4 linked regions of the Arabidopsis thaliana genome follow. The protein of the gene in region 2 interacts with the protein of the main gene of each other region in a pairwise test. Each region holds a gene or a part of one and is shown on either strand. Other genes may lie near its edges. The genes, in order: AT4G00980, AT1G10590, ISPF and WRKY60.

Region 1 (8,213 bases), on a different chromosome or scaffold from region 2:
CATGTTTATGATCTTTGTTTCCCGAAAAATCAATATATTATGTCATAAAAAGTTTACAAAATACAGAAATATTCCAATACAATCTACCATGAATGCAAATAAAAGAAATTGAAACAATGTCTCTATGAATGAAAAGAGAGTAACCAAGCTATTTTTACACTTATGCTAACAAACGATATTCCCCTCCACATTCTTTTTATTGGCTATCAGGCATCAGCTTGCTGCTAGTGCTGAGAAACCAAAATGCCCTTGACATTACTTTAACTAGTAGGTATAGATTCAATGTTGTTGGAGATGATTCTGGATCTTATCTCCTCCTTGAAACCAATATACTCGATGCTTCCGGTAGAAATCCTCTACGTTCCTTTGGGAGTCTCCGTAGTCTTTTTATTGCCATAATGAATGTCTCCGTGCCACCAAAATATGATTGATGGTATTTTCAACAGAACATGACACTCACAAACTTCATATATTTCATCAGAGGCAACAATGTGAGCGAGACAAAAACTAATCTAATCCAGTTTATTCGAGCAAATAGAGAAAACTAATCTCACATGAGATGAGTAGTTCATGTTGCGGTTTATTCTTATGACATGAGATGAAGGTTTGTAACCAAGCAAAGTAATCGCCATCATCATCATCATCAAAAAGAGACATCACCTTAATTTTGAAACCAAGCACTCCAAAGACTTGATCTCTTTGACATGTGTTTAAATAATCACCAGGGTGTTCTTGATTATGGGGAAGAGATAGCTGTGAAAAGATTGTCAATGAAATCAGGACAAGGAGACAATGAGTTCATAAACGAAGTCTCATTGGTTGCAAAACTCCAACATCGTAACCTTGTTAGGCTCTTAGGTTTCTGCTTACAAGGAGAAGAACGAATTCTCATCTATGAGTTCTTCAAGAACACAAGCCTAGACCATTACATATTTGGTACCTTAAACTAAACCCCAAACAAATGTATCTCTCTATTTATAGTAACTTATTTAATGATTGATCCAAATTAGTTGTTTTCTTTCGCAGATTCTAATAGGAGAATGATCTTAGATTGGGAAACACGTTATAGGATTATCTCAGGTGTTGCTAGAGGTCTTCTCTATCTCCATGAAGATTCTCGTTTCAAGATTGTTCATAGAGATATGAAAGCCAGCAATGTTCTATTGGACGATGCAATGAATCCGAAAATCGCGGATTTTGGAATGGCAAAGTTGTTTGATACTGACCAAACAAGTCAGACCAGGTTTACAAGCAAAGTTGCAGGAACCTAGTAAGCTACCATTTTAAAAACTACCCTTTAAGTTATTATCAATTCTGTAAAACTAAAATGAAAGCCAAAACATTATTTGCTCGTTTGGCAGCGGTTACATGGCTCCAGAGTATGCAATGAGTGGCGAATTCTCGGTAAAAACCGATGTATTTAGCTTCGGTGTACTAGTCCTTGAGATTATTAAAGGTAAGAAAAACAATTGGTCTCCAGAAGAAGACAGCTCATTATTCCTCCTTAGCTATGTAAGTGAATAAAACTCTTGCTTTGTTTTTTTTGACTCTAGACTTTGAGTTTGGGGTTGTAATTGAGGACTCATATATTGTCTTGATTTCAAGTCATATATTGTCTTTTATACGTATAGGTATGGAAGAGCTGGAGAGAAGGGGAAGTGTTAAACATTGTGGATCCAAGTTTGGTTGAAACAATAGGTGTCAGTGATGAAATCATGAAATGCATTCACATTGGTTTGTTGTGTGTTCAGGAGAATGCAGAGAGTAGACCAACAATGGCTTCTGTTGTTGTAATGCTCAATGCAAATTCTTTCACTTTACCGAGACCCTCGCAACCCGCATTTTACTCGGGAGATGGAGAATCATTGTCAAGAGACAAAAATCAGATAAATCATATTGCATCTTTGAATGATGTTACAATTACCGAGTTCGATGCTCGTTAAATTTGTGTGTAAAAGACAAAAATGAAGATTTCTGTTTGCTTTAAAGTTACACTTCAAAATGTCAAATGACGTTTGAACTTAAAATTCTTTGTCCTAATGAAACCATAATCTCTAATTATTGGGCTTGAACATATATGGGCTTTGTTAACAATGTAGGCCCATTAGTGTTTTTTTCCTCGTGTAGGCCCATTAGCTTATGATTGCTTTTTCTTAGGAATTTTGCGTCCCACATCGATAAGCTAGTGGAGAAACGTTTTCTTTATATATGGATACAAAGCATCAATGGTCACGACCTTACTTGAACTATAGGCTCGTACATCTGTTTTCTTGAGAAAATTTCTCAAGAGACAGGCCCTAAACCCTTGTTGATGAACCGTGACCGTGCGGCTTGAGCGTGATTGACGGCTACGATTGTCCTTGGATGCATCCGGTGCTGTAGAGGATGGTTACTCGGCTCGGTTCTCCCTTGCCGGGGTGGTCGCACGGCGGTCTGACAGGTTTCATTTTTTTTCCTTTTCACCCTGAAACTTTTAATTTCTTCTATTTTTCACCCGCTAATTTTATATTACTCTCCATCTGGTCCTTTTTAAAATTTCGACGTTCAAGTTTAATTTTAGAGGCTGAGAATATCTTCCATAACGCTTGGGACAAAGAAACTCTTAATTTTTGGTTGTGTGTTAAGTATTGTCACCTCAATTGATGTCAGTTTATTTGTTTGTATATCAGTTTTGAGGTTTCTGTTTTTATTTTGGTTCCTCAAAATAGGATTTAAAAAGCAATTTTGACAAAAAAATTATCATTCATAAAAGTATACTTTTACATTAAATCAGGCCAAAACTGATCTATTGGTCATCTCTCTGTTCTTCTTTTATACATTTCAGTGTCATAAATCTAATAGGCCAGACATATGGACAAGCTGAAAAAAGGTCATAAAAGGACTGCTTCTGAATCCTGAATCAACGGTATTCAAAAGACTTACCTCTTTAAGTATATCTGTGAAGAGATATAAACATTTTGGCTTCAGCAATCATCAACTACTACCCCCTATCATTGTTTGTTGTTGCTTGAGTCTCTGATTCCACAGGTGCAGCGACTGAGGAGTTGATCCGGTTTGATTTTCCGGAAGCTCTCTCATCAGATTTACTACCCCAGCAATGCTTTGCGAGATGTCCTTTCCTCCCACAGTTGTCACAGACGATGATGACTCTCTCGTCTCTCTCAGGTTCTTTCCTCTTCCAACCTACGCTCTGAGATCCTCTATGTGTTGTTCCTAGACTCGGTGTCCTTTCCATCTGAGAGGAGCCTGTGGCTGGTCTATATGTAACCCCTTTTGCTCCATTTCTGAGAAGCTCTTCCTCAGCTTTTACTCGTTCCATCAACATCCAGACTGGTAAATACTCCTCTTCCATTAACCTGGTGCAGAAGCCTCTCCAAGACGGGGGAAACTTGGAGATGATGGTACTCACATGAAATGCCTCATCAAGAAACATACCAGCACTCACTATGGAATCCGCAATCTTGTTAAAGACTTGGACTTGCTCGAGTATCGGTCTCTCTTCCACCATTCTGAATTCAATGTACTTTCTGACTTGTGACCTCTTCGATTTGGATTCATCACACTGGTAGACCCATTTTAACTCGTCCCACAATTCTTTGGCATGCTTAAATTTCTGAGAGTATCGACGGTATAGATGATCTGACAAGGAGTTCATCAAGTGAGTATAGCACAGGTAATCATCTCTCAACCATTTTTTCCCCGTAGCATCAGCTCGAGTTATTTCCCTGGGGTTGGTTTCAGGGCCTTGAGAGCTACCAATACTGGGACAAGGTTCAGAGAGTACATAAGTCAGCTTCAATTGCTTCAGAAAGAGTTCCATCTGTGAAGCCCAGTAAAGATAACTCTTTCCATCAAATCGTGAAATCTTGATAACAGAAAAACCGTGAGAGCTGTCCTTATCCACAGCCTCAGAAGTATCTCCATTTCGTGCTGCTTCAGATCTGCATAACGTTTAATAGCAAGATAAGCAGCCTACATTGCTAGCCAGACAGTAATGCCCTATGCCACGATGATTATATGACCATAAAACACTAAAAGCAATGCCAGGGAACATGAATCTTTATAGACTTAAAATAAGGTACACATTCTTACTTTAGTTTTGATTGGCACTGCTTAATACCGTCCTCTATCGCTGCAAAATTCTTCTTGATTACAGACCATTGGTTAGTTGACAAATGTGCTCCTGACAGAGAAGAAACATCTAACAATTGAAATCAACAGGAGCATATCTAAAACAAAAATGGCTACTTATAGCTTCATAGTCAAGACCAAGACACCAAGTTGTGTTTCAAATTACCTCTAAAAGCCTTTCCATGTTCCTGAGAACCAATCGATAGAAAAGGTTGGCCTCTGTATCTTTGAACCGTCGCATTTTGCTTCTCCGATAACTACAGTTAAAGACCAACAATTTCTACAGTGACCACTGAAAAACTCAAAATCGAGATGATCACAATCTCTACTCTATACAGTGAATCAAACATAGAACAAATAGGCAAAGTCGCAACCTTACAAATAAAGCGCTCATCTTCACCACCAACGGAAGCGGCAGCAACAGAAACTGTCTCATTTTTCGCCGGAGCCACCGTCTCCGGTACGAGTGCTTCACCGGGAGTCGATAGCAAAAAGACCTCAAGAACATCTCTGACTAGCTTCTTGTGATTGGTTCCCGATAAGTCGATACCGAGTTTAGCCGAAGCGTCAAGTCGGAGTTTGAACTCCGTCATTTGGTCCATATCAGATTCACTGAGTATGCTCTTCACTGTTTCCTCGATTTTTTGTGTAGCGACAATCTCCATAGTTTCACCAGAATCAAGCAACGAATTCTCCATTTCGCCCGAAAAAGAAGAAAAAAAAGGATAAAGAAAAAGATTTCGCAGTAGCGTCGAGTTTTGGTTGTTGGCCGGCGTTATATTTAGGGTTCATAAATCGCCGGGGGAAAAAATTTGGCCGGAGTGTGAAAAAAAGAGGTTCTACCGAGAATTGAACTCGGGTTACTGGATTCAGAGTCCAATGTCCTAACCGCTAGACCATAGAACCTTTTTGCTATAGCTGTTGCATTTAATACTTTATATATGCAAATATATATATATGAGTTTTTTTTCCTTATCTATATATCTTTTCTGTTTTATAATACGATATATGAATACATGGGTGAGATACGAATACGATTGAGAAATATATGGGTGAAATACAGTTTTTCTTCACGAAGCCGATAAGATACTAAGAGTCGAATCCTTCTAGAAACTAAACCGACAGAAAGCAAATTATTTTTGAAAATTAAGCTCAAACAAAAGAGGCTAAATATAAAGATAGCAAGGTAATAGTCATTAACATTTGTTGTGAATAATCTAGTTTGGGCTAATGTTAATCTTGTTTTACTTGTCTTCTCACTGCATTGCAGCTTAAGAAATTAGTATTGCATGCTGCGAGCTCAGACTCAGCCAGAGGGCTAACCCAACAGATTTTGATGCCTAAAACATCTTTAAGCTCATTTAAAATTCTTAAGCATTTTAAATCTATTTATAATTAAAGTCTCAAAAAAACGAAGGTAAGGTTCGAACTGTCCACGAAAGAGTCACTAATCTATGAAACAATCACTAGACTACGAAACATTTTTAAAATTTGATGCCCTTTAATATTATCTATAATTTTAGGCGCGTAAAGCATGAGTTTCACCAACTTTAGCCCAGGGCCGGCCCTGCTCAGCCATAAGAGAAGCAAAAGATGTAATGCAAAACTCCAATACGCAGTAATGATAACAAAAAAAAGTTTGTTCGTTAAAGCTTATCAATGCTTACAAAACATCAAAACCAACTTGACATGTGATGGCAGTAACAAAATCGAGAAGGCGATGCTAAAAGTAACTTCATAAACTAGATTGATCAAAAGTACTCATAGCTTCGGAATCAACATAAGACACCAAATATGTTCAAGTCACCTTTAAAAGCAAGTTAATAGCCAACAAACAATGTGCATTTCACATTTCGCTTCTCCAATAACTAATGCCTAACAATTTACAGAAAACATCACTTCTTTCCTCGACAATCCATTGTATTATTTTCGTGAAATGTCATCATAGAAGAAGCACTTAAAATGAAAATTGGGTTGGCCCATGAATTTGAATTCTCTAACCCAAGACCAAAACCCATAAAAGTTATTTACGACCATCGAACCACTTTTTTTTTTTTTTTTTTAACGGCAAACATTTTTCTATTAATTAGCCCAAATGGGCTTCATAAACAGGTACAACTTGAGGCCAAAAGCCCACTAATTGCAAACATTAAATAGACAATATGATGACACATGTATGCAATGTGGAGATTGCAGCGTAGATCAACGTTTCAGCACATGCCCCGTCACTGCTTCGCCGGAGAAATCTTCCGCCGGTCAGCAAATGATTCAGCTCCTCCATGAAACTTTCTACCCACATTTAGTTGTACCGAATGCCTTTTGCCAAGGATCACCGGAAATAGTCTATTGGAGTTAGTTTGGTCACCGGAAATTTAAACTTCAGCTGATTAGGATTAGAATATTCCTTGGAGGACCATTAAAACATGACGTGAACCCCAACTCGTCATACTCTTCTCCAATCAACCACAACACCTTGATCTATCATCCATGAAGAACCGATGCCCTTACGCTTTTATTAGCATAGCGAGGAATTTTCCTTCACATGGAAGAGTAATCAAGCATCCAATGAACACATTTCCATCTAAAAACCTCCAAGAATTAAACATCTTCTAAAATTGAAAGTGTTGATTTACAACCTGCAAAAGGCCTTATAAAAAACCGGCAAAGAAAACCGAAAGAAACTCCGAACAATTCGGAAATTAAAACCGGCAAGATACCGGAAACAAAAGAAAAGAAAAAAAACTTAAATGAAATCCGATTTCAATCGGAGAAAATATTAAACAGAGTTTTCCTCTCTCTCAAAGATACCAGAGAGAACCACTTGGTTAATTAAAGAAAATCTATTTTAACCGGTTGTTTAAAAAATAGTTAAATTTGGAAAGAAAACAGAAGTTGAAACGGTAGAATAGTAAAAAGTAATGAAACGTCTTGTTCCCTAATTAATAATTACTTACGATTCACGAAGTAGACTTTAAAGCCCATACTACCCTCTGGACTGTGGCCACGTCACTCTCCTTTAACTACTTTGATAGTCCCAAAGCTGCGACGGCGATAAATCGATGAATTAACGACGTTCGAAGAAACTCCAGAGGTCTCTTCATTTTCCTTTTGTATACTGGTAAAAATTGGTGGTCTCTTCTTTGTCTCCGAGTATGGAGAAAATGAGAGGGAAGCGAATCAGACCAAGAGATTCCGGCGAGTTAGTCGAAGATGGGAGATCTGAAAGCGAGCGTAAGACGAGGAAGAAAGAGAATGATGTTGTGAGCAAAGGAAGAATCGGAAGAGGAAGAGGAAGAGGAGAGGTTTCGAAGCGATCTATTGAAATAGACATTTCTAATCCCGAGAAGGTTAATTCCTTTCTATAATTGCTTCATTCAAATAGATAGATGAATCTCTTTCATGATTCTGTGGAGTTGTTAAAATTTGCTTTCTCATGCAATTATTTAGCTGCAAAATTTGTGTGAATGTTGTTTATTTCGATTTGGTGAATTTTATTTGTTCGGATGTGATGAGAATATGTTTTTGGAACCCTAATTCTCCCAGGATATTAAGCCTGACGGAAGCAGAAAGTGTTTGGGTTCGACGTGTCATCATTGTAAGATCTTGACGAGTGAGAGTGATCTTATCTTCTGTTCAAAGTGTAACAAGAAGTGTTATTGCTTTGACTGCATCAAGAGATCGTATGTATCTGCACTGTTCAGTATTACGTTATACTAGTTTATGATTTGCGGTTTCCAGGAGAGTTTTAACTATTTTGAATCTTGATAGGTATTCAGAAAGAACACATGAGGAAGTTAGAGCTGCTTGTCCATTCTGTATGATGACTTGCATTTGCAGAGCTTGTTTGCGGTTGCCTTTGGTTATCAAGGTAAGTGGGCTTGAGATCACTTATTTCTTGTGGATCTACTGAGATGAAATGTCTCCTTCAATATGATTTTTTTTTTTTTTTTGTGAATCTCAGCCTCCAAGTGAAAAAGATACAGATGTCAAGCTTAAGCAGCTGCAGTATCTGTTAGTCAAAGTTCTCCCAGTTCTTAAGGATATTTATACGGAGCAGAACCGTGAACTAGAGATTGAATCAA
Region 2 (7,178 bases):
AATTAGTATATATAAAAGTTCGTAAATTATATCTATCTATAAAATATATTTATTTTACAGTTTACAACTGTTATTAAGTAATGTCCTTTCAAACCCGTCCCGCCAAACCCGTCCCGTAAAAAAAAACTACAGTACATCGTTGATTTAAATATATAATTAAAATAAATATTTTACGGGATTACAATTGTACTTTAGTTTGTCAAACAATTTTTGTTTTAAATAGTTGCCGAAATCTAGTTTAAATTTTGGAGAAATAAGATTTAGTGAATTGATAAAAAAATGTATTTAAGTGCGTTTTGCTCATTTTAAGGGATTGCAATTGTATTTTGGTTTGCCAAACATTTTTTGTTATAAATAGTTACCGACATTTAGTTCAAATTTTGAAGAAATCTGCGTGATATATGAGATTGTAATATATTTGAAATAGTTTTGAGAACGATGATTTTGTTACGTTTTAATACATGTACATTTTACTAACTGAAAATATGAGATTGATTATTTGTATAACACGGAAAATATGAGATTGATTCTTTATATTACAATGAAAATGAATGATTCAAAACTAAAGATCATAGTGTAATATAGTTTAGCTTAGAAAATAATTAAAACGATTTTATTTATTTATTTAGTTTTCTAAATTTTAGTTTAGATTCAGAAAATAATTGTTTAATTTCCTTAGAAGATGATAAACATATATGGAAGATTTGAATCTCTATATATTTTAAAAATCAATCAATAATGTCAATATAATTAAAGGATAGATTAGAAAAAAGTTTCTTGAATGCTAAATAATTAATTTGTTATTTATAAACAAAATATTAAATGCTGTAAAAACGAAATATTAAATAAATATGGAAAGAAAATTCTACCTTAAAATATTTTGTACTATTAAAACCGATTTTTTTTTTGCAGCAAATTAAAACCGAAAATTAATAAATACTTAAGAGAGATTTTAGGAATGATTTTTTTGAAGTAATGTTAGACTTTTTTTGAAGTAATGGTGGATTTAATATAGAGACATTTTAGGCAATATTTTTGTTAGGTAAATATTTGATTTAAAATGTCGATTGAAAAAAATAAATTCAGTGGCATTGAGTCGTAAATAAGTTCTAAGTCCAGGATTTATTTGTTAAAATGACTGCAAAAATGTATATATAGATATGAATCATTTGTTTTAACTCTACACTACATATAATGGTCCTAGCTGGCTTGTACTAAATACTGAGAACCCTAGCTAAATGCTGCACTTTGATTGATCTGGTTCAAATCAAGATGATTATCCCTTGATCAGTTCTTTGATTGATCTGGTTAAAATCAAGATGTCCATAGGATTTTCGCAACATAGCCCTTGCCTAAGCGTCTAGGCGCTTAGACAAAACCAACACATACATTACATCTACGAAAAATTATGTACTCTGTATATATAAACAATAAAATACATGTAGAGAGAGAGAGACGGACCCTACGAGTGGGAGAAACATGAGAAGAGAGTATGGAGAAGAGATGTTTCATGCGCATTCGTCGTTCTTTCTCTCTGAGGTTTCGTTGTTCCCGTAATGACGATGCGCTTCCTTCTCCTATTTCTCTCGCTCTTTCCATTCTTCTTCTTTTCCTTTTTTAGGTTACTATGTTTAATTCCCTCTTTCCAAATCCATCTCTCCCTCTATAAATATAAAGAGATAGAGAGAAAGAGCCGCGTAATTTTAGATGAAAATGATGTTTTTCAAAGAAAGTCATGGCTTTTCTGGTTGCGTCCATGAGCTTACACACTACTTAATTTATACATATATATGCTTCTTTTACTTTGTAAGTTCCACTCTTAGAGATACTAAACATGTCCAATATGTTTTTTACTTACTTGGTAAGGTTTTGTTGGACACATTTCTAGAACCTAGATAGTGTTACGCTAGGTTTTGTTCTAGTGAAGCTTGTAGAAAATGTGCTTATCAAAATCATTTCAGCAGAACATAGTAATTAAATTAGTCGGATTATATGTGATGAATTCTTCACATAAGTACCATGTTTGGATCGACAAAAACAACAAGGGAATTTTTTTGTTATACCATGATAATTATGTTGATCATTTGTAATAGGCTAGATAAAATTAAAGATACCTTTAAATGATAATGTAACAATTCCATGTTTAATTAATAGGTGTCCATATTTATTATCCGAATTACACTATACAGGTCACATATGCTAAGACAATTTGGTGTCAAAAACGAAGAATCTAAGATTATTCAACAAGCTATCATTATTCCTTACCGATATAAAAGACTTTGAACTATTTTTTGGCCGTAAAGCTGACATATTTCACCGGAGATGTCGTTCAATTATACACTTGACCAAGTCTTATTCTAATAACAAAAATAATAATTATACACGTGACCAATTCTAGATTGAACTTTCTAACCAATTCTACATGAATCGTTCACCGAATAAAAACAAAAACATAAAATTAAACCTCGCAAAATTGAGTCTTGGAGCCTTTGCTAATTTCTTGAATACTAAAAGCAGATCACTGTTGATCTACATATAATTATTTATTTCTGTTGTTCGTTATTTATCCATAACCAAACCATGATTAGAACTAAATCAGTTCTGTGGATGCGGTAAAACAATCTCTTCGTCGAATGACCCCAACCAAATATTCAAATGTACACTTGCTAAAACCCGGTTCATTGGTAGTCCGGTTTGGTTCGTAGTATTTGAGTCAATTTCATATCCCTAGATGTTATGCAGAATTTTGCCACCTAGACCGAACAGAGCGTTTTCAAAACTTGGAAAGGAAAAAACACAAAGCATTTAGAACATGATGGAACACATGTTAGCCGCAAAGAAGTAAAAGAAGAAAACCTTCATTTTGTCTTCTTTCCTTGTTTTGCAAAATCGTCCAAAGGAATAACTTGTGTATATTTATCTGTTTTTGGGTATAAAAGATATATATATATATATCGCCTAGTCGTCGCTGCTTGTTGTTGTCAAGGCACACATGTTTATTCTTTATTTTTGTCAAATATTTGAATCAAGATCAGCTACTATTCTAAGAAACTGGCTATTTCTAAAATAACACTCACGAATTAGCCATTATTTATAAAATGGTAACGGTATATTCGAGATTCCAGTCCATACATGTTATTAATAAAGAAAGATTGGATCTCCATATAAAAAATAGCTGTCTCTTACATTGTAGCACTAGCTAAAGATCTTTCAATACTACGTACCTAGTCATACAATTCTTTGAATATGGTTTTAAATTGTATGTGAATATTATTAAGTGAGAATAGTATCGACATAACAAGTATGAAATCTTTTATTTCTATATATTTTATTTAACAACCTATAACAAACATTTCACTTCAAATTCTCACTATATGTAGTCCATCATCAACTACTTTCTTTTCGCATATCTTTGAAGTTTTTGGTTTTACTAAACTAACTCTATCATAAAAGGAGAAAGCTTTAAATTTAACCAGAAATGAAGATGCCCGTGGTTGTACAATTCTTCATAATCTCTCTTCTCCTCACATCTTCATTTTATGTACTTTCAAGCGCTGATTCATGTAAGTGTATACTTAATCTAGTTAGTTATTTTTTAGGTTATTTATCATTTTGAAACTAGTTGTCTGAAATTCTAAGATTTGATTTGTGATGGTGATAAATGAATTAGCAGCATGCGGTGGAAAGTGCAGTGTGAGATGCTCAAAGGCAGATCGAACACATGAGGAGTGCCTTGAGGACTGCGATATATGTTGCCAGAAGTGTAATTGTGTTCCTTCGGGGACTTATGGAAACAAAGATGAATGTCCTTGCTACCGTGATATGAAAAACTCCAAAGGCGGATCCAAGTGTCCTTGAACATTCTTTGAAGATCCTCATCACATACATATTATCTACGTACTATATGTATGGAAATTACATCTATATATGTTTGATGTATGAAATAAGTTCTGTGAGCTTAATGAAAATTTTGTTATCTTCAATCCGATTCCTAAACACATCAAGAATAAATCATGTCGAGGTTTATATTTCTCAGCTTCAATTTCACTAAACGAATAACTTGGGATACTATGATGGAATGCAGAATTGAGAATTTACTCTCTCAATTGTCTTAAATTCATAATCCAAGATCTACAAGGGGTAAGTATTAGGACTAACCGATTAAGGGTTTAATAATTATGTAATTCAGAGACTCTAACGCTTTGCATCGACCAAATACTACATTGTAACATAACACAAACTCATTGGATGTGAAAGTACAAAGTAGTATGTCTTTATAATAATTTGTTTCCAAGGAAAAAAGACGAGAACAAAAACTAAAACAAGAGAAAGATCATCCCATGATATTTAAATAGAGAATCAATCTACAAAAAGACGGCAACCTGATTTTCAAAACAAGAACAGTAGATCAGAGGCAAGCCGGATAGTACATAAAAAAGACTCAAACCCAAACCAAAGAGGCTTTCTCCAACTAGAACGTAAGTCTTTTTTTGAGTCGCTCTGTTTTCGTTTGTGGAGGAACCATATCAAGTTTCGACGCTCACAAGCTCATACTCGATCAGCGAAAGATTGTTATCATCCTTCACGGTGATGTCTGTGGGCTCCTCTGCAACTTCAACACGTCCCCATCTATCAACTGCAAGCCTCATAGAACCCTTGTACATGTCGATCTTCGCATTACGCAGAGTCACTACACTGCCTTCTTTCATCATATCCACTGGATAAAAATGAATAATAGCATCAGTCATAAATCTATAAAAAGTACATGAGAAATACTCAAATTATGCAAACAACTAACTATTTCCATAAAGCAATCCACTCTCCTGCTATTATCTGTTTCACAGATTCACAACCAGTATAGACTATAAAGATGCCAACTTAGAACAGAAACTTGCCATTAAAGAAGCTAACTGAGAAGAGAAGCAGTCTCTTAAAAGACCATCACAAAAGCATTTATTCTCTCACCTTGGTCATTTCTTGCAGTAAAGATTATGATTCCAGTCTCATCACCAACTAAGCATTCGGCAATCCGCATCTGACGTGACTGAGGACCCATGGGACGACCTCCTCCTCTCTGCATCACCATCTTCGTGTTGACAACTTTCACATTCAGAGAGTGGCCATTGGTTCCTGGTCTCAACTCATTAACCTTTGTGAACACAGGCTTCCTCAAAGCAGACGTTGCCTCAGCCATTTTTATAACAACCCTACAAAAATTAGCCATAAACAACAACATCTGCTGTGATCAGCACCTAACAACAATTTCAATATCTGATTAGACAATCAAAACCTCAAATGCGATCAAACAGGTTTAAGCTATCCTCATTTCTCACATAAGAAACGTTTTAACAATTCAACAAAACAATTTCATTCTCCATACACAACAAATTCAATAAAACGCAGCAACATAGATAATGAAAGCTAAATTACACAAAAGATCATATACTTTGATCCCAGAAATTCACGGAATCTCAGATCGGAGAAATGAAATTGACGTGAAGAAAAGTGTAGTAACGTTAGGAAGATGGAATTGAAACAAGAAAAAAGCTAGCTAGGGTTTTTGGAAACTCACGTACTTTTTGATTTTGAGAGAAGAGACGACGACGATGACTTTAGCGATTAGATCTGTGGAGGCGATATACACAAAGACGCGGCGGTCTTCTTTATAACTCTAGAACTCAGATATTAATACTCACCGTAGATCCGTGACCTCAACACGTGTCATGTTTCTGAAACATCTTCATTAAAACTACCCTTATATTTTTTTATATATTTAAGATTGACCTTATAACTTTGACTAATACTGATTACACCCTCTATTCTCCGAATCGGTTATCAAAACCAATTTCACTGGACCGTGATATCAGAAACCGGTTCACTGAGGTGGGCGAGATTTTTTGTTGTCACTCTCCTCTCCTCGTTCTTCGATGCTCATCCATTAGAGGAGGAGCCGATGTTTCTGCTTCCATGGTAACGCTCTCGTCTCCATCTCCCTCGCTCTCTTGCGTAGAGAACGTGACATGTAAATCTTCTCACGTTTCTCGGGTTCTAATCTCCGGTACCGATAATATTAATCACGGTGAATCGTCGGAAGCCAAAATACTGAGAGATGTTCATATCGTAAGAACTTTGAGATTTTTCTTTGAATCTCAGTTCTCTGTGATTTGGTACGTTCAATTACGGATATCTAATTTGAGTTAATCGTTGTTGTGTTTGTGCTTCTTAGTCAGAAAGGTTATTGGAGGATTTCACTGAGCTTGCAAGAGAGAACACTGAGAAGGACCTCGAGACTTGTGGGACTCTCGCTGCCTTTCTTGTAAGATTGTTTTGCTTTCTTCGCATTCAAGTTGATTACTTTGGGTGATAAGAGAATCTGGGTGGTGAGAAAATCAAGGAAAATGTTAGAAAGTTTCAGACTTTATTGTTCCTAATTACAACTTCTAACAGAGATCTTTGCAAATTTGAATTTTTAGTGAAACTCGATCTATGCTATTGTTTAAAGTTTACACCTTGTTTTGACTTTTGTGGTCATGATTCATGGTTGTTTTGCTTCTGTTCCAGGGTTCTTCGTTTTTCGAGTTTCATGAACCTGATGGTAATTACATTTCTATTTCTGTTCATGCTGTAGGAAAGAGGAATTTTTTATGTAACCACTCTGATAATACCTAAGCAAGAATCAACTTCTAATTCTGTGAGTTATCTTAGAAAGATTATCTCGATCATTTTGTGGTATTCAAAATGAGGTGCTTACTCAGGTGCTAAAATTGGCAGTGTCAGGCTATGAATGAAGTGGAAGTGTTTTCCATTCAAAACGAAAGAGAACTCTATCCCGTAGGATGGATTCATGTATATCTCTCTCTTCTAGCTCCCTCCATGTTTAGTGATCTGTTTATCTACTTTGTCTTGACTTACTATAACGAGGTTATGCATATTTTCCAGACTCATCCTTCTCAGGGTTGTTTCATGTCATCTGTAGATCTGCATACACATTATTCGTATCAGGTACATCTCTGCTGTTTCCAAATTGCATATATACTAGGTTTGAGACAATTCTGATCTCAGTTTCCCATCATGTCATTCTTAGGTAATGGTGCCAGAGGCTTTTGCAATCGTCGTAGCTCCAACTGATAGCTCTAAGTATGTTCTTCCAAAGCTATGGAGTCAATTATACAGTCAAC
Region 3 (7,775 bases), about 20 Mb from region 2:
ACTTAGCTGTTTGCACCAAATAATCTCCAAGTCTCTACAATGATAATTTCTGCATCCTCTTTAGCTTGCAATGTGAAGTGGATTGGTCTCCGAGGAGATGATCTGAATCTGATACCAGAAGAGTCTTTGGTTCCCTTAAAGCCAAAAGATTCACAGATTGCTAAGAGCTTATTGTCCTCCAAAATATTGCAGGTAACCAACTATACATTATACATTATAAGCAGAGATCAGATGTAATGGTCAAGCCGAAGCAATTCTAAGATTCGAATCTATAATCTATCATTTATACCCTAATTGATTTTGACATTTGCTTCTGACCAGGAAAACTACATAGAGGAGTTGTCACTGATGGTTCAAACTGGTAAAAGAGCGGAAATTGAAGCTCTCTATTGTCATGGTTATAATTATCTCGGTAAATATATAGCTACCAAGATCGTGCAAGGCAAATACATATAACACTTAAAACACCAACATGTAAGGTCTTCCACCAATAAAGATGCGTTTGCTTTATATTGGTTCCAAATATAAGAGAGTAACTTATTAGGGTGAAGTTTTATGCAAACTCTAATAGAATGTAAAAATAGATTACAATCAAATCAAAATTTTCCAAACTGAAGTATGATCTTTGTTTACATATGGCATTGTGATGATTTAGTAACAAAACTTGTCCTAATCTCCACTTTCCTATGCAGGTATAATGATAATTCCAACCAAAAATTCTCGCTCACTTCTTGCTTGATACAAGACTAATCTTCTTTCCCTCCACAACAAACTTGCCACTTCGCTCCAGCTGCAACAAGGACGTTAGAACAATATCAGTAAGAATGACAAACTTTGGAACTTTGTGTAGAATATGAGAATCCCACTTTAAAATGATTATGTTTACTAACTTCACTATCACACTTCTTTAATCTCAAATATAATGAATTTCATACGCTTAATGTAGATTCTATACGAAGATTTGGCATAAAGATTAGCTAAGATTGCATTACCTTAAGTTTCAAGTAAGCAATAGCATCTTTTCTTGAAGAAAACTCTGAAAGAACTGATGGTGCTTGTTCATCGATCAGAGATTTTAGCTGTTTCAGCTTCATGAATCCACCTTTACCAGCATCCTAAGAATGTTTTTGCACATATACATATAAGTCGATATGAGTGGTGGGATGTTTTAGAAGAATACAATGACAGTTCAAAATAAATTGACAACGAACCTTTTTAACAATCTGCTTGCACAGGTTCTTTAACTTGATTTTGGGTTCAATGATTTCATCGTGCTTCCTTTTCGCGGGAAGAGAACTTTCAATTACAGAGTCCTTGTCATCATCATCTGCTTCACTCTCGTCTTCATCTTCCTCTTCGTCTTCTTCGTCATCATCATCATCATCATCATCATCATCATCACTGTTATCAAAAGAGGTTTTCTTCCCTTCGTAACGAACACCAGCTATTTTCTTTGGCCGGTCTTTGATACCCAGTCCTTGTTTTCCCGCTGTGGCTTTATCCTACAGACATTCCAAAACGTCAATATATTATTAGATCCCAACCTCTTTTCCAAGAACAGCCTGCAAAGAACATACCTGAACCATGTTGTAAAGATTCTCTTGATCATTCTCACTAAACATTTTTCTCTCGCTAGCTTTTAATTTCTTTTTGCCCGACTTGGCCCCCAGAAGACCACCCGAGACAAACCCGGATTTAAATCCCCACCAGTTCGAAGAAGGTTCTTCAATTTTCTGTTCTGTTCAGTCCAAAAGATCCATACATTTTCAGTTCAAAAAAAAGAGCAGAAAGTCACAATTTCAAGATGCAAGGACAAACTAATCACCTTTAATACTAGCATCTTGGTCCTCAGATATAATTTCAATATCCATAGAATCGGCTATGTCACAAACTGCAGGAGAAGGATCCTCAGTTCGCTTAACCTACAAAACAGTAAAATAACGTGCCTAAGTCGGACTATCACTTTCATAATGAGATTTGTTTACATAATGGTGATAGCAGAGAAAATTCTAACAACATGCACAAGTTCACAGTACATGTAGAAGTTATGATCCATTCTAATCAACATGAATCTTGATCATGAGCGGATAAAAGACAGGACAGAACTGTTTTGAAAGGAAGCTTACCAGTATTCCTTCAAGATCTTTAGACGAGTATGAATTGACAAGCTTCCCTTTCTCTCTACGTTTATACCTTCCTTGTGGACGAGTGACTTTAGCAACGGTCTTCAACTTGGCAGGCTCAGATTTGACAGCATCATCTTCACTTTCATCTTCCTTATCTGAATCTATCGTATGCCACATAAAACAACAATCATTAGGATAAATAAGCTTCTCTAAGTCAAGAAAGAACTCAACTTAATAAGAAAAACTTATACCATCATCATTCTTGCTAGTCTTGGTAGGAGCAGCTTGCTGCAAATAACACACACACATACACAAAAAGATTGAAATTATTTCAAATATTTCAAAGAGCATAGTTAAAACGAAAGATGAACACAGCCATTACCACTTTCAATTTCTTGAGAATGTTATCGAACTGAGTTGTATCAAATGCCCATGGATTTGGCTTATCAAGACCAACACCTGCTCCAACATTTTAAAAAAATTCAGACCTATAACATAAACGATAGATGCATATACACCACACAAATATACAAAAGGCTTAAAGTAGCTCTATCTTGATTCCACAACTTCACATTCACCAAATTACATAAACTAAACTATGTAAACAGACATTTCCTCCTAAAAACCGAAAATAATGTTGTTGTTTTTTAGTGTAAGTGAAAAGTAGCTCTATTAAAGTTTCCTCCAATCTAAATTCCACCGAGAAAAATTCAAATCACTAGTTTCCATTAAGGAGAAGAAGAAGAAGAAACTAACCAGATGTATCTTGTTTGTTCGTAACTCTCACATAACCTTTGATACCTTGCTTATCTTTACCAAGTCCTTCTCCTTCTTCCCAACCCTAAAAAAATCACCAATCCAAAAAATTAGGTCTTCTCCTTTATAAAATCTCTACACACATTAACATCATTACAGGAAAATTCACTCACCATCGATTTCATAAGCTTGAAAGCGGCGGAATCCTTACATATTCCGACGTACTTAACCGGAGCTTCCGGCGCCGCCATCTTCTCTTCTAATTTTCCGGCGATTGAATGGAGACAATGCGTCGCCGTTTTTCAAAAGCGGTGCGGAAGAGAAGAGTGGGCGAGGAAGTTTAGAGAAACTGGAACAGAAAACCTAAAGCGAAGAAGTGATGAGTAAAACTCCTCTACACGTGGTCTTTAGTAAACTTCAGTGGATATGTAACATGATCGACGGTCGAGAGTTTATCATATTTTAAATGGGCTTTAGGAAGGAAAGGCCCAATAAAGAAATGAATATTTCCACCACAGAATTATGAATTGAGTAAACCAGAAAATCGAAGAAGAACGGCAATGGCTACTTCTTCTACTCAGCTTCTACTGTCTTCTTCTTCTTTGTTTCACTCTCAAATTACCAAAAAGCCATTCCTTCTCCCGGCGACGAAGATCGGCGTTTGGAGACCGAAGAAGTCTCTCTCGTTATCATGTCGTCCTTCAGCCTCGGTTTCAGCTGCTTCTTCCGCCGTCGACGTCAATGAATCTGTGACTTCAGAGAAACCAACCAAAACGCTTCCGTTTCGAATCGGTCATGGTTTCGATCTACATCGTTTAGAGCCAGGGTATCCTCTGATCATCGGTGGGATTGTTATTCCTCATGATAGAGGCTGCGAAGCTCACTCCGATGGTAAACATTTCTTGAAATTCGATTTGGTTAATTCGTCTTCTTGTAGATTTTAGGGTTTTGATTTGAGTTTGATGTTGGAATTTGTGTAGGCGATGTGTTACTTCATTGTGTAGTGGATGCAATTTTGGGAGCACTAGGCCTTCCAGATATAGGTCAGATTTTCCCTGACTCTGATCCTAAATGGAAAGGAGCTGCTTCTTCTGTATTCATCAAAGAAGCTGTAAGATTTCGACGCTTACCTTGATGTTCAATTTTGTGTGTATGTTCCAGTATTAGCTACTTCTTCTTTAAGCCTTATTTTGTGTGTGGTACTTTATAGAATGGTTCAGAATTCAAGCTAGATCCATAAGTTGATGGGATTTACTCAGCTTAATAATACTCTTGAGTAAATTATTTTCATCTATAGGAAGTCGAAGAAATATGGAAATCAGATCTTATCCCTGAACTGTTGTCATCACTCAACGATGCTATCTATAAGCTTATCACTCTTGTATACATGATTTTTGTCTTGAAAAGCCTTGGCATAACTCAATTTTCTGTTGAATTTTAGGTTCCTGCATCTTTGTATTGTTAGATTTCAACACATATGATTGATGATAAGTAGAGGTACTCAAGGTTGAAGCTATAAAGTTTCTTTCTTGTCCTGTCTTTTAAGTTATGGGTTCACATTTGGCGTAATGTGTTTGTTAAGTTCACCATGATTGACTGTGAATGTTGATTGCGTGGAAGCTAATCTGAATCACTTGTAATGATGTTATATAGATATAACAGAAGAAATGTTAGATTCTCGTCGGTATGAAGAATGATTCAATAAACTTGAGACGAGGTTTATTTGACTTTGTGTTTCAGGTGAGACTCATGGACGAGGCAGGGTATGAGATAGGAAACCTAGACGCGACGTTGATTCTCCAGAGACCAAAAATTAGTCCACACAAAGAGACAATCCGATCCAATCTGTCCAAGCTTCTTGGAGCAGATCCTTCTGTAGTGAACTTGAAAGCCAAAACACATGAGAAAGTTGATAGCCTCGGAGAAAACAGAAGCATAGCAGCTCACACTGTTATTCTCCTCATGAAGAAATAGAAGTCAAAATTGATTTTAGCTCTTTATCATATTCCTTAAAGTGTCTCATCTTTTAAGAAAAACATACTTTTGATTGTAAAGTGTAATCATCCTTTAAAGGTTAATTAATCGAATCGTTTCGTAGAAGCAGAGAAAATCGAATCATATTTTGTTGATGATTCATTGTGATTCCTAGTTCCTTGGTCAGATTTGAATATAATTGGAAACTGTGTCTTGGACTGCAAGTTCCTTGTGACACAATTTTTTATTTGTCTGTCATATAGTTGTTGCTTTCCTTGTCTACATGAATTCTTAAATCAAAATCAGAGAATAATAATATCATACTGAAATAAATACATCAATGATCAGAGAATAATCCTTACCCGTCAATATAAAATCAACTTCTGACTAATCAGAGACTTAACATACTGCAAATCTTAAGAGATTATACAGCCGTGATCATGATCGCACACAATAGTAGTGTGATGATGCATTGGACAAACCGGAGTGTCATGGTGAGACTGAGACCGGTAAAGAGCTTCTTCACGTTCACGTTCACGTTCACGTTCATTTTCTTCTTTCTTCTTCTTTTCCGCAGCTGCAGCGGTTTCCGCTTCCTTCTTCGGATCGAACGGGCCAAATGTAGCCATTTTCGCACTCTCCCATCTCTTTTTGAGTTTTTTGAGAATCTGCATTTCGTCAAACTCACCAATCACCGTTAACTTCCCTTCTTTTGAATCCATGGTAATAGTTGTAATTCCTGGAATAAAAAGTGTTAAGATTTAGGTCTTGAGACTAAGGAAGATCTTTTCAAGGTGGTAGGTTCTTTTGAGATTTCAATTCATAATCCATAAAGAAAACCAAAAACAGAACGTATTATTATTATTCAAAGCTTTGCAGCAAAAGCTCATTAACAAGAAGAAACTTAAACTTAAACTCACACTCAAACTCAATAATGAGTGATTAAAAGATTTGGTTTTTCACTAAATAATCATGAACGAGACAAGAAAAATCAAAATCATTATTTAAGGGATCATATCATAACCCATGAAGAATCACATAAATAGAGTCTGTGTGTGTAATCGAAAAATCTTTGCCTTTTCAATTTAAAACGCATGAACAGAACAAAAAAAAGTTTTGAGGGTTTCAAATCAAAACTCATCAAAAATCTCAAGAACAGGGGAATGTGAGTAACGAAAAGCTTTGCTTTTTCATTAAAAACTCATGAATATTACTACATAAATCAATTTCAAGTTTTGAGGTTTTTAATTCAAACCCTTAAATGATCCAAAAAGCAGAGTGAATGTTAAAAGCAAAAGCTTTTGGCTTTTCACTAAAAGAACAGAAGAATTAGATCCATCGTTGGAGATAGTCTTAACAGCAATCATTTTTGTAGGGTTTCAATTCAAAACGACAGAACCTACAACGAATCTCAAAACCAGAGAGTTTGTGTAATGAAAAGCTTTGGCTTTTCAATAAAATCACATGAGCAATAAAAAGAAGAAAAAAATTGGTGCATGTTCACCTGAACAGCTAGCTACTGTTTGGATGACTTTCTCCTTAGACCTCTCGTCGCAAACATTTATCATCACCACCATTTTCTGTAGAGAAAGTGTGATTAGAAGAAGAACAACCATTAATCAAAATACTCCAAAGTCTATAAAAATTCAAAAGACTCATTTTTCAGTACTTTGAAAACCAAATGACACATTACCTTCATTTTCTTTGTAGAACAGAGAAGAAGATGTGGTCCACAGTAAAAAGTTGGTGTGCTTTTTTTATTCGTGTAAGCAAGTCGATGATGCTTTATGTCCCAAATAACAAACCGCCACATTAAATGGATTCAGAGAAGAAAAAAAACATAATGTTGGAATATCATAGTGTTTTGTGATTTAAATTTTTTTTAGAAAAATGTTTTCTTCAGTAAAAAACAAGAGTGTGGATTTCACTTGTGAGAAATGGCTTATGGATGTTTTCAACTGTACTTGTTATTTTCTCCTGTGGTTCTTTGGAAATTTCTTCTCTTTAATGGTCCCATGATGAGTGTCCGTCGATTATTGATCGTTACTATATCCAGTAATTTCCATTTCAAAAGTTTTTATATTGTCAAAGATTCTTCCAAGGTCCCTTTTTATGGTAAGTTCATGTTCATCATATGGTTTTGTTCATCATGATCAATTGTTTTTAGTACCAACCGCCAACATCCATATTTTGTTTGCATTTTGTACTTCTTCTCCAATAAACAACGAGAAATAGATCATGAAAAATCCCCGAAAATCATATTTCAATTTGTGTTATGTGGCTAGCCAGACACGTCATTTATTTCTTAGCTCCAAATGTTATATTGTCCTAATTTTTCTTTTTGGCATATGTTTATTGATATTATTTTGCTTTATAATTCATTTGCACCACAATATTCCGTTTTTTTTTTTATGTGCGTTAAGACCGAAATGAAAGCATTTGAGTAAGCATTGAGTAATTTCCACGCACACTTTATGCAAGTTATTTCACTCGCGATCACAAGAAAACCATGTCGATTTTACCAAAAGAAAACAAAAAACCATGTGGAAGATATCTCTTAAATTGTTCATGAAAACTCTATCTTAATGGTCCTCTGTTAGTTCTTTTTTTAATGTCGACTTATGCTTCAAGAAACCATGTGAAAGTCTCTAAATTAACAAAAGTATGTGTGTTTTCTAGAAAATCAAACCACTTATAAAATCATTTGTAAAGGATAATTTGTAATTTCTGAAGTTCGCTTGTTTAGTATTAATCCCTTGAATATGTTATCCGTCACATCAAAGAAACTGTGTTTTCATAATTTTTGGTCTTTGAGTTTAACCTATTAGCAAAACTTCACATGGTAGTTAAAATTTGTCATCATTAATATTGTTTTAAGATTAGAAAGGACTCTCATCTATAACGAGTGGATCCCACGCG
Region 4 (7,739 bases), on a different chromosome or scaffold from region 2:
TAAAGTGGAGAACTTTGTGGTATATTGTAGCTGGAAATGTGATTTGAGATAAACTGGTGATGCAGGGATGGGAAGGAAGAGTTAAAGTTGGGATGTCGAATTCTGTGACAACTGCGATTCGTGGAAGTCTTAGAGATACAGAAATTGGGAGAAGTAGGAATACTGATAAAGCTGACCGGGCAACAGTTGAACAGGTGAGGTCTAACTGTTACACAAAGATTCGACGAAGATTCGGGTCTGATCATTTATCAAGTGTTTTCTGCAATGTGTTGATGTTGTTTTGTTCTTTGCTACAGGCTCTTGATCCAAGGACTCGTATGGTTTTGTTTAGAATGCTTAACCGGGGTGTGTTTAACGATGTTAATGGATGTATTTCGACAGGCAAAGAAGTATGTCACATTCACTACTCTCATATTTGATGGTTTAGCTATTTAGTCAAGAAGATGATCTGTTTGGATTCCTTTGTTGAAAGTACTCTCTTTTATTGTTTTTCAGGCTAATGTTTATCATGCCACAAAATCTGACGGTTCGGAACTTGCAATAAAAGTGTACAAGACATCTGTTCTGGTTTTTAAGTAAGCTATTTACATGAATAATGTTGTTTATCAGTTCTTCTAAAACTCTTAACTTAATCCCAGTTTTCAACTTTGATGATTTCAGGGATCGAGATCGATATGTACAAGGAGATTACCGTTTTAGATATGGCTACTGTCGTCACAATCCCCGGAAGATGGTGAAGACATGGGCTGAAAAAGAACAGAGAAATCTTAAGAGGTAGCCTATAATTCTTTGTGGGTGTGTGCTGGATAATTGTATTGTACTTAAGTGAATTAGAATAAGAAATCTTGGAAGTCCCTCTCTGCTTACTAATCCATATGAAATCTAGTTAGTGTAGTTTGATTTACCTTATTTTTCAAACAGAAGCCAGAGATGTATTCACTTTTTTCAAATATATATAACAGTAATTTTGGTGATTTCTTAGTTGGTTATATACATTTTTCACTGGCAGGCTTCATGCAGCTGGAATTAGGTGTCCAGCTGTTATACTTCTTCGCCTTCATGTGCTAGTCATGGAGTTTATAGGTTCGCTCTAATGCATTATCTGCTGTTTTAATCACTGATTCCAGGCATCTCTTCTCCATTCACTCTAATTCATCTGTATATTTGACTGAAACAGAGAAATGATGAATTAAAGGGTTTTCAGTTACCTAATCCAATTTACTAAGAATGTTTTATTTATATAATTGCAGGGAGGGATGGTTGGGCTGCACCGCGTCTCAAGGATGCTGCATTATCTCTAGACAAGTTGCGCGAGTGCTACCTAGAGGTATGTCTTATTTTCTCATTTAGAGGGTCCTGAGTGTATTATGGCATTACAGTCAGGATTCATCTCTTTATGGTCTCTTTACTGACATCCTTTTTTCTGCATTTCAGTTGATAATTCAAATGCGAGTATTATATCAGAAGTGCAAATTGGTGCATGGAGATCTCAGTGAGTATAACATACTTTATTTTGAGGTGAGTTTTGATTCTTTTTCTTTAGGGATCTCTTCGGTTTTACAAGGGTCACTTGAACAAACAAGAGAAGACAGATATAATGATATTGTCTTGACTTTGTCAGGGGCACCTTTACATAATTGATGTTTCTCAATCTGTGGATCTGGACCATCCTCTTGCACTCAACTTTCTACGGGAAGATTGTGACCATGTCTCGGTAAGTGTCCTGTTTTAACAATGCTTAATTTGACTGGTATAAGGTGTCTGATGTGTGGAATATTTTGACAATCACACGCAGGATTTTTTCAAAAAACATGGTGTGGCTGTCATGACAATACGGGAGCTATTTGACTTCATAGTTGACCCGGCAATTACAGACGAAAATGTTGATAGCTATTTGGAAGAGGTAATGTATGACTTTTTATATGGATTGTCCATTGAATCAGTGGGCAGCTTTAAATTAATGAATTATGTAACAATGGGCAGGTCCAACGAAAAGTTATAGAGCGAGGAGAGATATCCGTAGAGGATGAAATCGCGGATTCAGTATTCATGAAGGTTAGTTAAGAGTGTATCCAGTTGTGTGAACTGATATGTGAAGTTGTCTGTAGAATAATCTTAATCTTACTGGTTTGTTATTGATGTTCAGTCATACATACCGAAATCTCTGGATGCTGTGAACAACCCTGAGGCTGACGTGGCTAAGATAACAAGCGGGCAGGACACAGGAGACATGCTATACCAAACGATAACGGGGCTTAAGGATGCTCTTCCTAAAATAGAAGAGCAGAAAATAGAGGTGAATGATGAAGAGAAAGAAGAGGAAGGAGAGGAAGAAGAAGACGGAGAAAGTGAAGAAGGAAGTGAGGAAGAAGAGAGTGAAGAAGAATTGGGTCATGAAGACAAGAAAGCTGCAAGGAAAGAGCACAAGAAGAAAGTGAAAGAGGAGAAACGAGAGTCTAGGAAGACGAAGACACCCAAATCTGTCAAGAAGCGAAAGAAGAAAGTCTCTAAACCACACAAGACTCGTTAATCCGAGTTAGAAGTTTTGACACCCCAACTTGTATTTTTATTTATATTTTGAAATTTTGTGTCAAATTCTGGGAAATCGAGTATGGACCCAAAGCTCTCTATATTTCCAAAAATAGCAAGTTCTTGTAATATTCATAGTATGACTTTATTATAGAGCCCGAAATTGGTTTGCTGCTGTTTCAAGAATAGGATTCAAATTTCTGTTCCTTTCCTCACATCCCTAACCAACTTGACAATTCGAATAATGGTTGTGTCTAAATTTATCAACTCAAGTTTTGAGATTGTTGGCTTATAGTATGAAAATTCTAATCCTGCAACTAGTTTATTTACAACATTTTTTCTTTGTTTAATGAGTTCTTGATTTTATACAGTTTAGTGTTTATGAGCTTTTCTTCTTAAGCCTCTGTTTCCATAGTTTATATCTTAATACGTGTTTTCTCTTTCTTTTGGAGCTTTGATTATCTCTTTTAAACTATGTTTTCGAAGATATCTTTGTTTTCTGCCGGTTTTGTAAGATCGGAAAATATATTTTTATTTTATAATATTAATAAAAAAGATGACAAAACAAAAAATAATGATTTTCTTTCAAACTTAATGAACATAAAAAAAAGGGAAACGAAATCTTATTTTGCCTAGCTGACATAATTAACTAATGCAACTAAATGTAGGTAGGATTAAGTAAACAAAAATATGAGACAAAATTAAACATGCCAACCTCCAGGGCATAGTCAATGGGTCAAGTCAAGCGAAAGTTGGTCTGGATCTTACAATGCAACTTAATGTAAAGTACTCATTTTTCTTCGACATGGGACATCCGCCGAAATTGTTGATTTTTGATCCATCTTTACACTTGTTTTCTCCGATTACAACAAAACATAACAATTCGACTACGATTTAACACCTAACCTTTTTAATTTTTTAGGACACGCATTTAGTATTTACGATGCAAGCCAACAAATTTAATCCAACGTATTAAACACAACTTGCTTTTTGTCAATACGTATTAAATTAAATAGTTTTCTTGCAATTTTTGTTTACACATTTCATTAGTATTGTTTTTTTCCAATATTTTTGTTTCTATGTTCAATCACTATCATATGCATAATACACATTATAATTTTGGCACAATTAGAATTACACACAAGGATTTTATAAATGTTTTTAAAATGATTTACAAAAGATTTTATAAAAATTTTACAAAAGTTTTTAAAAGATTTAATAAAAGTTTTAAAACGATTTTACAAAGAGTTTTAAAAACTTTTAAAGGTTTTAAAGAAAGTTTATGAGAATTTACAAGAATTGTAAAAGATTTATAATAATTTTTTTAGAATTAGAAAGGAGACCCTCATTTTCCACCCAAATCGTCAACCTTCTCATAATTGACAAGTTATTACACTCTCTCCACTTACTAGTTACTATAAAACCAAAGGAGACCAAATCTCTTAGCAATTATGAATTTGGTCTTCGCTATAATCTCACGTTACATTAAATTGGCTCCTGTGAACCTAAATTTATGGACTATGATCCCAACACCAATCCGTTCGACCTTCATTTCTCCGGTAAACTTCCGGTGAGTTTTTCAATTTCTTCGAAAATTTCACTTCAATTTTCGAGGTTGTGGTGATTATTCGTGGTGTTCATATATATTTTATTGCCTGATTTAGAAAAGAGAAGTCTCGGCTTCAGCTTCTAAAGTTGTAGAGAAGAAATGGTTAGTGAAAGATGAGGTTAGTTCTTTCATCGAACACTTTGGTGTGCAATACTTTGACCTCAAAATTTTTGACTATGAGTGAATGGATTAGGTTGATCAAGTTCTCATATCTGATTTAGACATTGAATAGTTTGTTTAGATCGGTGATGCTCAAAAGTTGAACAAATCAAAGCTTTGTCTTACAGCTTAGTTTGGTAATGGTGATTTTCATTTTACACAGAAGAGAAATATGCTACAAGATGAAATAAACCGGGTTAATTCGGAGAACAAGAAGCTAACCGAAATGTTAGCAAGAGTCTGTGAGAAGTACTATGCTCTTAATAATCTTATGGAGGAGTTGCAGAGTCGAAAGAGTCCTGAAAGTGTTAACTTTCAGAACAAACAGCTAACGGGGAAACGAAAACAAGAACTTGATGAGTTTGTTAGCTCCCCAATTGGACTCAGTCTCGGACCAATCGAGAACATCACCAACGATAAAGCGACGGTTTCAACCGCTTACTTTGCTGCTGAGAAGTCTGACACAAGCTTGGTAAGGAGATTTCTACTACAAGTATCGTTCTTTGAGTGTATTGATTTGTTAACGAATGTTTTGTGGATATACGTTACTTGTAGACTGTGAAAGATGGATATCAATGGAGGAAATACGGGCAAAAGATTACGAGAGATAATCCATCTCCTAGAGCTTACTTCAGATGCTCGTTTTCACCGTCTTGTCTAGTCAAGAAGAAGGTACTTTGGTTTAAACTTTGTTAAAGAGTTCTTCGATATCATCTTGCTGTCTGATTAAATTCCCTAGTTGTGTGTGCGCTTGTTTAGGTGCAACGAAGTGCAGAAGATCCATCTTTCTTGGTAGCCACTTACGAAGGGACACATAACCACACCGGACCACATGCAAGTGTGTCCAGGACAGTGAAACTTGATCTAGTTCAAGGTGGGCTTGAACCAGTTGAGGAAAAGAAAGAGAGAGGGACGATTCAAGAGGTTTTGGTGCAACAAATGGCTTCTTCGTTGACCAAAGATCCTAAGTTCACTGCAGCTCTTGCGACTGCTATTTCCGGGAGATTGATAGAGCATTCAAGAACATGAAAGTTCTCTAGAACATGTATATTTCTGTTTTGTTCTATTTTGTTGCTCATTCCTAGTAAAAAGGTAAAGATTTGTTTGATCTTGATTAGGAGGCATAGATGTCAATTTTAATGTGTGTGTATATAATTACATCAAATCTAAGTATCCAAAAAGGGTCACCCCCATTTTATCTTATGTTGAAAGAGTTTTGTTATAGCTCGGTGTAAGTATGGTAGATTGACGCTGCTTCGACAGTTTATGTATCTTCCAATGTTATCTTGTTCAGTTGTTTGTATTAACTTCCATTAGAGAAGAATGTGATGCCATTACAGACATAAAAGAAACAGAGAAACCCGGAAACAGAGTAAAACCACGAAAAACAGAGTCGGTTTAAGAGAACCAAACCAAAATAACCGGTACAGCTATAAAAAGCCAAGAAGAAAAATTATGAACCGAGTCCAAATTAGGTTACGGTTAGCTTCCAATCCCAACTTCTTCTTCTTCTTCATCTGTGTTTAGTCCCAAATTGAAGAATCAAAAGTTTCGTGTTTTGAGAATTTGACAAAAATTTGTTTATGTAATCTTAGTTTTCGCTGATTTTGAGTAAGTTATCGACATGGATATTGATGTCGGACCAGTTGATCCATCTGTCCTATACGAGCAAGACCTCCATGTTTCTTCTGCTGTTTGGGAAGGACAGGTTTTTTTCTTAATTCCCTTGCTAAATTTCAGATTTTGAATTTAGGGTTAATCTTATTTCCCCTTACTTACCTTAGGAACGAGGTCTACTTCGTTGTCAAGAACACACTTCATTGCTACATCAATGGAAACTCACTGATGAACAAATTAACCTCGTGGACAAAGCTGGTTTCGGTTACTTTCGCAAAATCGGTCCAATGAGTTTAAACAATTCACTGATCTCTGCACTTGTTGAGCGATGGAGAAGAGAAACCAATACTTTTCATCTTCCTTTAGGAGAAATGACTATAACCTTAGACGAAGTTGCTTTAGTACTTGGACTTGAGATTGATGGAGATCCCATTGTTGGTTCTAAAGTTGGTGATGAGGTTGCTATGGATATGTGTGGTAGACTTTTAGGGAAGTTACCATCTGCTGCTAATAAAGAAGTTAATTGTTCTAGGGTTAAGCTTAATTGGCTTAAAAGAACTTTCTCTGAGTGTCCTGAAGATGCTTCTTTCGATGTTGTTAAATGTCATACTCGAGCTTATCTTTTGTATCTTATTGGTAGTACCATTTTTGCTACTACTGATGGTGATAAAGTCTCTGTTAAGTATTTGCCTTTGTTTGAGGATTTTGATCAAGCTGGGAGATATGCTTGGGGAGCTGCTGCGTTGGCTTGTCTTTACCGAGCGCTCGGTAATGCGTCGCTTAAATCTCAGAGCAACATTTGCGGTTGTTTGACTTTGCTACAGGTTGGCTTCTATGTTAGTTTTGGTTTTCTGTCCAGTTGAGATTTCAATATCTTTAGGAAATGTAACATATGATTGTCTCATGTATATAGTGTTGGAGTTATTTTCATCTGGATATCGGTAGACCCGAGAAATCCGAAGCGTGTTTCCCGCTTGCTCTTTTGTGGAAAGGTAAAGGAAGCAGATCCAAAACCGACCTATCTGAGTACCGCAGAGAACTGGACGATCTTGATCCTAGCAAGGTAAACCCTTCAGTTCATCCTTATGAATTTTGTATTGCTCTAAATGTTAATAATTGATGGTTGTGAAAATGCAGATCACTTGGTGTCCATATGAAAGATTTGAGAACTTGATTCCACCACACATTAAAGCCAAGCTGATTCTAGGAAGATCGAAAACGACTCTTGTATGCTTTGAGAAAATAGAGTTACATTTTCCAGATAGGTGTCTGAGGCAGTTTGGGAAACGCCAGCCGATACCTCTGAAAGTAAAACGCCGCGACAGAAAGAACCGTCGGCTTGATGACTTGGACACGTCAATGAGTCTAGCGTGTGAGGAATGGGCTGAACGTGGGGATCACATCGTGGACAGTCCTGGAGGTGGCAATGTGGTGGATGATGGAGCTTACATGGAATGGTATGCTAGGATCAGTATCACCAAACTATACCGAGAAGCGTTTCTCGAGTCCCAAGTCATGAATATGGTAAAATAAGTTTAATCTCTATCATTTCTGTTTTTAAAACATCTTATATTTGAAACCGGCAAAATAAGTTTACTTTGGTTTGGTGTAGATTGCTTGTATGAGGGAATTTGAGGAAGCTGCTTCAGGGATTGCACTAGAGAGATTATCTCCAGCGGAGAGAGAAGTGATGGAGAGTGTGAAAGATACATTCGCTAATAGTTTGACGTTTGGGGGATGGCAAGAGGTGGCAGTTAACAGTGGTTACGGGAAGCGCCGGCGTCGGAATGAACACACTCCGACGCCGAATAATGGTGGTGGTAAT

What was found.
Region 1: the proteins of AT1G10590 (region 2) and AT4G00980 interact in a two-hybrid assay, tested with the Arabidopsis thaliana proteins (one large-scale study listed by BioGRID).
Region 3: the proteins of AT1G10590 (region 2) and ISPF interact in a two-hybrid assay, tested with the Arabidopsis thaliana proteins (one large-scale study listed by BioGRID).
Region 4: the proteins of AT1G10590 (region 2) and WRKY60 interact in a two-hybrid assay, tested with the Arabidopsis thaliana proteins (one large-scale study listed by BioGRID).

Annotation. Positions count from the first base shown.
Region 1 is NC_003075.7:419,752-427,964, forward strand, and holds AT4G00980 (zinc knuckle (CCHC-type) family protein), read right to left. Parts: upstream 4,838-8,213; 5' UTR 4,830-4,837; coding exon 4,506-4,829; intron 4,389-4,505; coding exon 4,298-4,388; intron 4,184-4,297; coding exon 4,093-4,183; intron 3,942-4,092; coding exon 2,981-3,941; 3' UTR 2,727-2,980; downstream 1-2,726. Other genes in the region: CRK41 (cysteine-rich RLK (RECEPTOR-like protein kinase) 41), read left to right, coding at 726-936, 1,027-1,270, 1,362-1,512, 1,632-1,943; AT4G00990 (Transcription factor jumonji (jmjC) domain-containing protein), read left to right, coding at 7,284-7,478, 7,675-7,811, 7,900-7,999, 8,093-8,213.
Region 2 is NC_003070.9:3,497,798-3,504,975, forward strand, and holds AT1G10590 (Nucleic acid-binding, OB-fold-like protein), read right to left. Parts: upstream 5,619-7,178; 5' UTR 5,577-5,618; exon of another isoform or gene 5,573-5,576; intron 5,253-5,572; 5' UTR 5,237-5,252; coding exon 4,966-5,236; intron 4,718-4,965; coding exon 4,527-4,717; 3' UTR 4,212-4,526; downstream 1-4,211. Other genes in the region: AT1G10586 (basic helix-loop-helix (bHLH) DNA-binding superfamily protein), read right to left, coding at 1,462-1,599; AT1G10588 (Gibberellin-regulated family protein), read left to right, coding at 3,479-3,563, 3,671-3,858; AMSH2 (associated molecule with the SH3 domain of STAM 2), read left to right, coding at 5,968-6,120, 6,227-6,316, 6,629-6,691, 6,772-6,846, 6,940-7,002, 7,085-7,137.
Region 3 is NC_003070.9:23,736,004-23,743,778, reverse strand, and holds ISPF (isoprenoid F), read left to right. Parts: upstream 1-3,394; 5' UTR 3,395-3,442; coding exon 3,443-3,773; intron 3,774-3,862; coding exon 3,863-3,993; coding exon of another isoform or gene 3,994-4,017; exon of another isoform or gene 4,018-4,031; intron 4,032-4,622; coding exon 4,623-4,856; 3' UTR 4,857-5,106; downstream 5,107-7,775. Other genes in the region: SPO11-2 (sporulation 11-2), read left to right, coding at 65-192, 322-456; AT1G63980 (D111/G-patch domain-containing protein), read right to left, coding at 725-790, 993-1,115, 1,212-1,502, 1,578-1,738, 1,826-1,922, 2,127-2,287, 2,378-2,414, 2,509-2,585 and 2 more; AT1G63960 (Copper transport protein family), read right to left, coding at 5,273-5,595, 6,361-6,472. UniProt on the Arabidopsis thaliana protein: Enzyme of the plastid non-mevalonate pathway for isoprenoid biosynthesis that converts 4-diphosphocytidyl-2C-methyl-D-erythritol 2-phosphate into 2C-methyl-D-erythritol 2,4-cyclodiphosphate and CMP. Is essential for chloroplast development.
Region 4 is NC_003071.7:10,625,770-10,633,508, forward strand, and holds WRKY60 (WRKY DNA-binding protein 60), read left to right. Parts: upstream 1-3,892; 5' UTR 3,893-4,042; coding exon 4,043-4,099; exon of another isoform or gene 4,100-4,193; coding exon 4,194-4,256; exon of another isoform or gene 4,257-4,460; coding exon 4,461-4,769; intron 4,770-4,852; coding exon 4,853-4,969; intron 4,970-5,056; coding exon 5,057-5,326; 3' UTR 5,327-5,644; downstream 5,645-7,739. Other genes in the region: AT2G24990 (Serine/threonine-protein kinase Rio1), read left to right, coding at 66-194, 297-389, 496-575, 661-774, 1,010-1,083, 1,251-1,327, 1,435-1,518, 1,622-1,714 and 3 more; AT2G25010 (Aminotransferase-like, plant mobile domain family protein), read left to right, coding at 5,922-6,005, 6,082-6,738, 6,828-6,977, 7,052-7,438, 7,527-7,739. UniProt on the Arabidopsis thaliana protein: Transcription factor. Interacts specifically with the W box (5'-(T)TGAC[CT]-3'), a frequently occurring elicitor-responsive cis-acting element.